Cricetulus griseus: one gene and its partners. The protein of the gene in region 2 purifies or fractionates together with the protein of the main gene of each other region. This does not show direct contact. Links are inferred from orthologs where the notes say so. Each region holds a gene or a part of one and is shown on either strand. Other genes may lie near its edges. The genes, in order: Zzz3, Mbip and Kat2b.

What was found.
Region 1: the proteins of Mbip (region 2) and Zzz3 purify together in Homo sapiens (affinity purification with mass spectrometry; 4 studies listed by BioGRID and IntAct, counting the BioPlex papers as one, with this or other methods). This does not show direct contact. The link is inferred for Cricetulus griseus from reciprocal best matches to the Homo sapiens genes MBIP and ZZZ3.
Region 3: the proteins of Mbip (region 2) and Kat2b purify together in Homo sapiens (affinity purification with mass spectrometry; 4 studies listed by BioGRID and IntAct, counting the BioPlex papers as one, with this or other methods). This does not show direct contact. The link is inferred for Cricetulus griseus from reciprocal best matches to the Homo sapiens genes MBIP and KAT2B.

Annotation. Positions count from the first base shown.
Region 1 is NW_023276806.1:6,917,144-6,921,271, forward strand, and holds the start of Zzz3 (ZZ-type zinc finger-containing protein 3), read right to left. Parts: upstream 2,944-4,128; 5' UTR 2,829-2,943; coding exon of another isoform or gene 2,806-2,828; intron 1-2,805.
Region 2 is NC_048598.1:146,092,668-146,096,319, reverse strand, and holds part of Mbip (MAP3K12-binding inhibitory protein 1), read right to left. Parts: intron 1,771-3,652; coding exon 1,705-1,770; intron 1,471-1,704; coding exon 1,318-1,470; intron 993-1,317; coding exon of another isoform or gene 967-992; exon of another isoform or gene 1-966. UniProt on the Homo sapiens protein: Inhibits the MAP3K12 activity to induce the activation of the JNK/SAPK pathway. Component of the ATAC complex, a complex with histone acetyltransferase activity on histones H3 and H4.
Region 3 is NW_023276806.1:249,614,294-249,617,945, forward strand, and holds part of Kat2b (histone acetyltransferase KAT2B), read right to left. Parts: intron 3,451-3,652; coding exon 3,387-3,450; intron 3,300-3,386; coding exon 3,215-3,299; intron 1,000-3,214; coding exon 806-999; 3' UTR 1-805. UniProt on the Homo sapiens protein: Functions as a histone acetyltransferase (HAT) to promote transcriptional activation. Has significant histone acetyltransferase activity with core histones (H3 and H4), and also with nucleosome core particles.

The DNA of each region.
Region 1 (4,128 bases), on a different chromosome or scaffold from region 2:
ACATGTGTGTATGCACATAAACATATGTATGAAAACCACAATCAAATAGCACCTATGAAAGCCTGTACTTTTCTTCATAATTGGTTATAAAACTAAAACACTGATTAGTGTCCTTCATTCCCTAAAAAGGTTTTAGTACTATCCAACTACTGGGCTGTGATCATTGGGAAAGGACTAAAACTGTAGACATGCTGGAAGACTAACAAGGAGCACATTTTACAGCAAGTGTTTCCTGGTATTTCAATCTGTTGTAACTTGCATGGCCTGAGAGCCCACATCCTGAGCTTGCTAGAAACCCAGGTCTGTGTTTTGACACTTAGAACGGAAGGGGAAAAAGACAAGAAGGAAGAAAGAACTGCAGAGTATAAGGCCCTATGCAACCCATTCATCCATGCTGGCGTCTGGGAAACGCTGGTATCTCTGCACTCAAGGCAGTGGCCTAATAATTCAATCACCAAGTTGCAAACCAAATTAGATACATAATTCTCCTTAATATTTTATTAAATCATAATGATTAAAACAACACATTATAAATCAGATCATGATCACTTCGGCTAAAGAAGCACCAAACAGCAGTTTATAAAATTATCTTAATACACGTAAAGTAAAAACCTAATCAAAGTATGAAGGCCAAGTACAACAAATCTTTGTTACGTATTTTCTTCCTTTTTCCTATTTTTGCATAAGCATACATGAAGTATACGTATGTTTAACAATTATATAAGATAAACTGAATATAAAGCCATTCATCAATAAGGGACTTTTAATGAAGTATGTCTACATTATTCCAACCAAATTTCAATATTGTTGTACCAAGCTTATTTATTTAGCAAAGAAGTACAAACTAAAGCTGTTATTTTCTTCATTTTAACTAAATACAAAGTCACTAAAAAATCCAGTGAGGTTTGGGCATATAATTGTATGCTTGCCAAACATGAAGTAGTTACGGCAATAGAATGGAACCCATTTATTTGCCAACTAGCCCAGGATACCTTTACTGATAAACTAAAATAAGAGACAACTGGTGACAGCCTTAGCCACACCCATTTGGTAAAAGACACTTAGAATTAAGGGAAACCCTGAGTTCACATTTTAGTAATGAGACTGATGCTGTCCTATGCTACCCACCAATTACTGAGCAGCAGTGTTTCTGGGGGACAGTGAGAGTATGAACCTCACTAGAATTAAGCACACTTTGTCCTGCATTCTCCATCCTCCTAAGTCTTCTTACAGAATGAAAAGGGCCAACCAACCAAACTTCTTCAGCTTGTCCACAGAGTTCCCAAGCTGCCCTCAATCCATACATCCAAACTCTTATCAGCCCTTCCACTGAACCACCTTCCCCTAAACTGGAATCTACCTTTATAAACCTGTAAAGTCCTGAAACATTATCATAAACCTCTAACCCGTGACCACACCCACACAACTCAATCAGAACCAAAAGAAACAGGACAGACAAAGGCCCACCCACTAGAAACAATGCACGATGCCGCTGCATTTTTACTCAAAGGCTATCTCTAATCCAGTACCTGTAATCTCTGGCTCCTTTTCTACTCACCAAAAGTGTCCCAGTTTACTTTAGGAATTGAGGAGTTGGTAACTAATATCAGTATTATATTATTTTTATATTTTGGGGTTTTTGTTTTGTATTTTTGAGACAGAGTCTTGATATGTAGCCCTGGAACTCACTATGTAGACCAGGCTGGCCTCCTGCTCACAGAGATCCTGCCTCTGCCTCTGGAGTGCTGGGATTAAAGGCATGCGCCACCATGCTCAGCTAACACCGTTTTTTGTTGTTGGGGGGGAGGGGGAGACAGGGTTTCTCTGTGTAGCTTTGAAGCCTGTCCTGGAATGTGCTCTGTAGACCAGGCTGATGTTGAACTCACAGAGATCCTCCTGCCTCTGCCTCCCAAGTGCTAGGATTAAAGGTGTGCACCACCAACGCCTGACTAACACCAGTATTATTATCATCGTATCAGTTTTACTAAGTGAACAGCTTCAAGAAAACTGGTCACAATACCCATATATTTTCAGGTGTAAAGACCAAAATCAAAGGCAAAACCATGTCAGAGTAACTGAGAGGTGTCACCAATATGACTTTCCTACCTGTCTATAGCATAAGCTGTGCTCAGGCTTAGTTTATCATACAAGTCTCTGAGATGTCTTTTGAGACAGGGTCTTACTATGCAGCCCTGGATGGCCTGGCCCTAAAACTCTCTCCCGCATCCCTGATGGTGGGATTACAGGTGCGCATTGTCACACAGCTAGTCATACAACTCTTTTAAAAGACAGATTATTTCAACTGTACAATTATCAATCTAGTGTAACAGAACAACGCCTGACCTTATCCACTGGATTATTGAAAGGTTAACAGTCCCAGATCAGAAGTCTAGAATTCTATCATGCAGTTATATGTAAAGGATCTCCTTTGTCATCAAGAGAGATACAAGAGATGACTGACAAACAGACAGAGAGCTATATAGAAAGACAGACAGGACAGATTCAAATGAATGCACACTGAAGACAACTGAGAAGAAGTGAAAGAGGGGTCACATGCCCCTTAAACACGTTTAAGGCAAAGACAGGTTTAATGGTCTAAAGATACCAACAGTCATTTCCTTCATCCATTTGTTGAGAAGAAAGAAATGGAAACGTATTTAATCTTCAGCCCATCTCCTACAGCTTGAGATCACCATAAAACAGCAAGGCAGAAGAAGAAAGACGGAAAATAACATGTCTCCTCCCACCCAAGTAAACAAAATCAAACTACCGTTGTCATCTCTGCTGCACAGTTGAGTAACTTACCTGTGTAACCAGAGATCTATCATTGTGGAAATAGTCTTTCTTTTCTTATATCCGCAAGGAGATGAAGCTATGATCTACAACAGAGCTTAAGCTTCAGGCTCTCAGCTTCAGCCTCGGAGACTATAGAAACTCTTAACCGCCTCTCTTTAAAATGGTAAAAACAAAAAAACAAAAACAACAACAAAAAAAAATATTAAATAAGGAAATTAACTCAGCTAGTAATTTACTCTGATTACAGAAGCACACAGTGTCTTCACAGGGATGTTTTGGTGCTTCCTGCTAAGTGGTCTCAGGGGCACTAAGCAACCAGGACAGAAATGAAGAAACTTGAAATATAACAAATCCTTACAAACAACTCAGTTATTAACTTGAGTAAAACATGACTCAGCCCTTTCTTGCAACTTGCTGTAATCTAAGTCCCCCAGCCCCTCCCTGGCTTAAAGATGACCTAGAGGATTTCTGAAGGATTTCCTAGATTTAAAACTGAGTACAAAACCTAGGGCCTAACAACAACCAGCAGACTAAGCACACAGCTTAACTCCTCTGTATCACAGCACACATGACACACTGAAGACTCAGCTGCCCTTGAAGCTTCTGGTGCTTTCTGCCACATGTATTTTTTTTTCCTCCTCCTCCCTCCCTCTCTGTCTCTCTCCTCTCCACCCACCCCCTTCGTGGTTTTTTGTTTTTGAGACAAGGTCTCCCTACGCAGCCCTGGCTGTCCTAGAACTAACTGTATAATCAAGCTGACTTTAAACTCAGTGACCTTCCAAGCGAGGGGATTAAAGGTGTGCACTACCACGCCCAGCCATATAGACTCTCAACGAGAAAAAAGCAATAGTGAGATGAATGGGATTCATATGTGTGATGTGAAATCCACAAAGAATCAATAATGTTTTCGGAGCTAAATACTCAGTCTGGTATTTTAATTAACTTAATTACATGCTAATTCTTGGCATGTTTATAGCTAACTGCAGTTTTACCAGCATGGTATGGCATCTTTTTTGGAAACTATATACTCTAGCTACCTGGGTTATTAGGAGTGGCCATCTGCAATAACAGCACTACAAGAAAGACAAGCAGACGCTTATCATTAACCTTGCTCCTTTTTTCTAAGCATTAAACTAGGTATTTTTAAATGGATACTATTTAAGTGGGGTATTATAAATTAAGGGCTGGTGTAATCATCAACTCTTTAACCCAGCATTCTATCTAGTAAAAAATGAACAGATTACTGTTAAAGGTGATGTGCTGCCTACTTAGGTATAGCCAACAGAATCTAAGTAAGTATTACAATGATTCAATGCCTGCTATACTTATTTT
Region 2 (3,652 bases):
CCCTTAGTTACAGTTTCACTCTGAATTCTATGAGACAAATTATAGACTTCTGCTTTCTAAATATTGCTTATGCATCCCATATTGCTACAAGTTGTTTTACAAAATTCATTTTATGGGATACTGAATAGTTTCCGTATAGAAAGTGTTTCTAATAGATGTTGTAGTTACTTAGAAGGAAAAATACTGAAGTCACAAGATGACAGTTCCACTTGATGGCTGTGCTTATCCTATCATTCTCTTCAAATCCTATTTCTCCTAGCATGGTATATTTTCTCCTTTGACCTAGAAAAATGTTTAAAGGAGTTTTCCCATAATTCTCAATGACAGTTCTTTTAGAGGAGGGCGTGGTGTTTTAAAGATACTTAGACATCAAGTTCATTATTATATTTAGAATCTTTCTACTGTTTCAAGTATCATCCCTGAGACCTGCCTGGTCTAGACCACAGTCTCTCTGCTAAGTACTGAGTTTGCTATGCGTTTGAGAGCTCCAGAGAACTAGTAAAGAATTTTTAGCTGGGTACAAACAACATCAGATATGAGCTTGAAAAACAGCAATTTGGTCACAGGGTGAAAATGACCTAGTTGACCAACAGACCTATCACTCCAAGACAGAGATTACAGTAGTTTCATCTACAGCAGTAGCTGTGGAGGCAGAAGAAGAAACATGCAGGGACATTTAGGAGAATTAAGAGCATGGTAACTAAATGGGTAAGACTATTTGCTTCCTAGCTGTCACTTACTATAATATCCTGGGAGGCTGCCTGAGCTCTTTGGACTTCAGTCTTACTACCTTTCCAATAGTAATAGCACACACCTCCACAGAGTTCTGTTAATCACTAAGTTGATATAGGCACGGCACTTTCAGAGACAGTATTGTTCAAAAAATATGGGCTCATTTCCCCCAGGATACTTACTCATTTATGTGTTTATTGTCAGGAATGCACTGAAGACCAGGACCACATTTATCTACATTTTTGTAGCTGGCAGAAGGGCTAATAACAATTAGAGGTAGTCATACAAGTTCTGAAATTGGCCATAGCAACACATTACATTCATTTTTTGTTGGAACTTCAATAAACCGAGGCTAACAAAATCTATCTAGATCTGTTTCCCAATTTAGAAAGTGTCAAGAAGTATAAGAAGAGAAAGCATGAACACTGAGAACTTTACAGATTCCTCGACAGTAGCAACTGTTTTATGCACCTAGAACGAGGGCTTTACAGTGAATGTTTGGGGAAACTCCGGAAGCTAAATGAATCTAATTTCCTTAAGACTTGCAAAAGCACATTACAGAACATCACCTAACTCTCTACTTACCCGTCTGCAATCGCAAGTGGGCCTCAATATTCTGGAGTCGTTCTTCCACAGCCTGGTTGCCACAGTCTCGAAGCATGCCGGTAGGTTTGTGACCTGACCCTGGAATTCCTTCGGGTCTAGTCTGTGGTCCATATGTATTCACAACTCTAGAAACTAAGTTAAGAAACTTTTAAGCCTATGTGAATTTATGCTCCAAAAGCAGAAATTCTCTCTCCCTTACAGTATATCTTTTCCATAATGGTCACCTAACCAGAAGCTCAAAAAGGAAGAAAGGCAATGCCTTCGGTTTAGAATAAAGTTTAGATGGGAAAAGTATTTCTATTCCACGTTGTTATGAAGCTACAACAAACTTTTGCCAGTGACATATACTATACAGCAGCTACTTACCCTTTACGTGACTTTTAAATCCAGGATAAGGAGTAAAGACGGCATCAGTCCTTGCACAACTATTTTCTAGGGAGAATTTGGATGAATTTAGTTCAAATATATTCTTAACTAAAAATTATGAGATTATGATAAACTCCTAATAATTCATATTTTACTCATGGGAGAATTTTAAAGGACTAATAATTACATTACTATCACATACAGAATAATTTGGGTGGTCTTTATCCTCTGAATTGAATCACAAGTAATATTTTTATGTAACGTTCAGATATACATATAGAGAAACCATTAAGTGACAAAACTTCTGATAATTTTTAATAAAATGAGTTATTACTCAAAATTATTGGAGAAAATAATTCATATATTCTAGAGCCCCATATTCTAACTCCATTATATAAACAGAAGACAATTTACCAAATTATCTTTTAAAAATTTCAGCATTTTTGTTATTACCAAATTAGTGAACATATAACAGAGGGACTGATTGTATATTTTACAGTTTTTTTTTTTTTTTTTTTAGGTCTCAGAACTTTATAGACTTAAAAAGATCCTGAAGCCTCAAGTACAACACACACTGAAATCTCAAGCACAGCACACTTTCCCTCTGTTCCTAGATTTCCAATGTTTATTTTAAAAAGGCCAAACAAAAGGGCATCGCTCTCAATCCTACTTTTTATAAACTGTAATTTTAGAAAAGATACATTGTGAAAATTTTCCCAATATTTTTACCAAGGTGAAAACTACAATTTCTTTTCAATTATGTATGGACAAATAAGTTATAAGGAAAGAAAACAGGAATATGTTAACATACTCATACAATTAAATATTAGCACAATTGTAATATATGAATAATATATATTATATAATGCATTAACCTAGAAACATATGCTAATGCTTGAAGTAATAGTAAAGCTATACATTGGCAGTAAATTTTCTGTTAAATTTCCATAATTATTTGGTAAAAAAAAAAATGGGTGTAAAATGAGTTAAAGTCTTTTGTTATTTCATGAAATCTGATATGAAATCCGATTTTTAAAAACTAATTCTTTTTCTTAGACCAACTGAAAAGTCTTTAAAAATACAGTAACACATTATAATGTATTTTTTAAGCTTAAGTTTAACACATCTGTGATAAGTCAAACTGTAAATAAAATTACAAACCCTCTTAATCTTTTATATTTAAAGACTAAACAGACTCATTTTCTTTTCCTTGGAAACACCTCAAAATATATATAAGAGGCCTACACTTCTCTATTCTTTCTATCCTTTCACTGGTCTTAGGGTATTAAAAAAAAAAAAAGAAAAAAAAGGCTATGTTCCATTCCAGGGCTATATTCCAAATGCAGAGAGCCATCAGTGAGAAATGCAGCGTGGTGCGGGACAGTGAGTGCATGAGGCTAGTCGTTCTCCACAGCAATTCTTGCCAGCACTGTTTTGAGCCAGCAAGGGATTGAATGGGCTAAGGAATCCTGCTGAGCATTTCAATTCTTGCCAATTTCTATCCCCTGATGGTTTATAATAATAGAGTTAGCAGGAAGAACAGAGGAATAACATTAGTGACACATGCACTTGCTCCCTCAACAAACCCTTTCTCTTGAGGTGCACACAACTGATTGGTGCACCTGAGATTTTGCCACTGCCATACCTGTTCTGAAAGGCTAACTCTAGAGATCCACAGAAGTTAACAGTGGAAAAAGTGAGATTTAGAACCCAAAGTGAGCTTACGTTATTATGTTAAGAGTATCCTGTATCAATGTGATTGTGAGTCACTTCCAGGTTCAACTGACAATTCCATGCTCAGAATCACCAGCCAAAAGATATATTAAAGGCAGTAAGAAAAAGGTTAAGTGCAATTATGAACCTTTCTCCATATGTTTTTTCTAAGAACTATTTGTATTGGTCATTATAAGGATAACTGAGTAAGATCTATGGCAGTGCTACACAGTAT
Region 3 (3,652 bases), on a different chromosome or scaffold from region 2:
GCATTCATAAGTATTTAGGACACATGTCTTAACGTTAACAAAACCTCCAATGTTTTCAAGTTGACACCTTTGTGGCCTGGGAGAGGATCTTTTAGAACTTAGAACCTGCACAAGCAAAGGCAAATATGACATGGACACATATCTGCCAAGAATTATTAAATAGTGGTTGTGCACTCTCAAGCCTGTGAGGGGAAGACACTTATAAAAGTCCCCTCCTCAGGAGTCACAGCTGCTGCTGCTGCTGTGAAAGTTGCATTTTTCAGAACTGCTCAAAGCACCTCATCTAGATGAGTGTTTTAAAAAATATATATTCGTAAAAGGTCTACAGTGAGACTTCAAACATCACATAGTTCACCTTGACAGGCGTATTGTGGACCCTTTTCTTAAAGTCCTTCAGAATAAAATAATCTCTCATGTTCCATTAAAAAAAAAATGGAGACATTCATGGTCAAAATTTTCTCTAGATTCCCATAAATCCTGGTACTGTGTGCAATTTCCTCACAAACAGGTTTTGAGGAAGCCCCTGATCATCTACCATGCATTAGTCAGCTACTGGACATGCCAGAGAAAATTTACACGATAGTAGTAAATAAATTAAAATCTACTCCACAAAATAAAGTTTTCTATGATTTCCATTTAAATACGTCTCTAAAAAGCTAAAAGGAGGTTTTGTTTGTTTTTCAAAAGTGCTAATTATTACAAGTCTCTTCAACACATGATGTACAATTCTTAAAAACAAACAAAAACCCAAAACCTAAACCACCTGCTTTAGGCACACTGCTGATGAGTGTCTAAGGAAAAGAAATCACTTGTCAATCAACCCTGCTTCCTTAATTTTACTGAAGAAGAACTTCTCCAGGATGCTGGCACATTTATAGTACTCGCTCTCAGGAGGGTTGTACTCTTTGCAGTTGGTGAACACTCTCTGCAAGTCCGCCATGAATAATTTCTTAGACACATAGTACCTGTTCCTGAGACGTTCGCTCATGGTTTTCAGATCTGCACAGGAAACAACAACATTAGCAACTGTTGACTCCTCCTACACAACAGCTGACAATGTAAGGTGGGAAGAAATGTATGCTACTGATGTGCTTACATCTTTCTCACCCCAATGCCATGCTTACAAGAAATTCCATCGCATTAAGCAAAATAATTCTAAGTCTATTCTTCTGAAAAGGATTTTATATATAACACGTACCCACACTAACATTAAAAGGACCTAAGTACTTGTCTGCTCCCGTCTCTTACTGTGCACCAGGAGGCTAAGGAACAGTAGAGGTTACAGGGATGCTGATTGAGGCAGGCAGAACACTGGCACAGAATCTTTGATTGCTAAATTTATAGGTTGAGCTAGTTTTTACTAAAGCCACAAAGAAAGAGGCTAGTATCTTATTTGCAAATGCATCAGTAACCTGCACATAAAATACTAAAAGTAAAACAAATGAATTTTGCTCCAGGCTCTATCAATGAAGTCAAACTAACTTTTGACTTTCAACTTTACCAAATAATCATTTATTATTGTTTTAATTGTATAGATTGTTTCCGAGTATGTCTGTGTGCTATGTGCATGCCTGGTGCTCTTTAAGGTCAGTTAAGGGCATAGAATCCCCTAAAACTGGAATTACAAAGGGCTATAAGTGGCCATATGGGTGCTAGGAACCAAACCCAGATCTTGGAAGATCATTCAGTGATCTTAAGTGCTGAGCCATTGCTCCAGCCCAAAATAATCTGCACACACACATACCCCAGGTGGAACTCTGATGGGAAAACCTCATTAAGCAAGGTCACCAGGATACAGACTCCGAGGTATCTTTTGCTTTTGCTTCTGTTGTACCTTCACATATGCTACTACAATCTTTCCCTGGTAGCTGTGAGGAGTCTCCCTCTGCCTGTATTGTAGTGTGTTTATCTCATGAGTACATCCTAAAGTTTACAAGGACATATAACTGAACTGTCTGATTTATTGGGCTGGGTTGAAAGTGCAGAACAAACCGATTGTTGCACACACTTTCCTTGCTAGGTCTGGCTGATAACCAAAGACAATAGTTAATTCTCTGCACAAACCCTGACCTCAGTTTTCTGATACAGGTATGTTCCCTGAAGACTTAAAGCTCAGCCAACTGTTTTTATGTAGAAAAATATTGGGTCTTGGAATTGCACAGATGACAGGGAGCAAAAAGCTGAGGTCTAGAAACAGAAACAGCTTTTGTTCAGAAACACTACAGGGAAAGATATTCTACCTGGTCAGGGCTACAGAAAATAATTTGACTTTATAGCCCCAAGAAAGAGTTACAAGTTGTTTTTTGTTTGTTTGTTTTGTTTTGTTTTTATGGTCTAGAGTTACACGTAGGACAGAAAGTATATTTTCAGATTTAAAGTACTATTGGTCTCACAATGTCTTGGGAAGTTCCAGCTGAGCTGATGCTTAAAAGATTTAGGGTAACTCATGAATGTTGACCTGAGCCTGAACTAGAGAATTCACGACACCTGGAGAGTCTTTTTTTCTAAAATATGGCACTCTGAGAAATCTGATAAAACCCAGAATTTACGACTGCTGATTACAGAATGTTAGTCCAAAATGTTTATATAGTCATGGGTTAGTTTAAAATTGCCTTTCCCCTGCCTGGAAAAACCCAGGGCAAAGGACAAAATGGCCATCAGTTCTAATGACACTCAAAAGGTATAGGGCTGTTTTCTTACCTTCTTAGACTCTTCAGTAGTTTAGATTTATAAAATTCCTTATAAGATAAAATTCCTTATAAGAAGACTACCTCTCAAGATAAATAATAAAGTGACTGATTTTTTTACTTTACTACTGAAATTTGCAGCCTGCCAATAAAAGAGTTGACTAAAAAAATGTTCTTTCTTTGCTCTGTAATATGTTGCACATAAGTTGTCTAATAACTCTGCTTTTAATCGCTTAAGAAACAGAATATGACCCCTTCGTGATGCCTGTATTTAAGCCATTGGGGAGAGGGAACAAAGGAGAACAACATAAGAGAATAAAGAAAGGAATCGTTAAGAGAATAAGTGTTTGTTTTTTCCCCTAACCCCCGTCAGATGAAAAGGTCTTAGTTGGAGCCAACGCTGTGGATTTTCCCTTCGAGCCCTGTGCAGTCTTGCAGCTGGTCTCCCAGGCTGCCAAAGCCAATATTTGTCTCCCACATCACCACCCAGTTTTATATCTATACTGAGAAAATTGTAATAGCATTACCCATGGGGAACCTTATAACTTCATAATATCCTGGAGCTTCTGTTCTCTTCACGGGTTCCATGAAAGGCCAAGCACTTTGATGGCTCTTGAATAAAAGAAACAAAATAAGGTATCTAATATGGAAATGCCATGTGGAAAACCATTTCAAATGAGGTGCAGGACAGGTACCCACCTTCACCTGCTGCAGGATGTTCTTAAGGATGCTGTAAAGCTGCTCAGGGTCTTTGGGCTCTTTACTTGAAAGAAGAGAAAACAAAGAGGAAGGGTTAGTGCTCATGCTCCAGGCCTGATCACCACTCAGCTCAGCCTCTCAGGTCCCAGCCTAGGAACTGAAGCCCACCAATGCTATGTACCAATTACATCACTTGGCCCTTTTCCTAGAAAGTGCTGGAAGGGGGAAAATCACTTCCATTAACATCCTCTAGCCCGGCTTGCTTA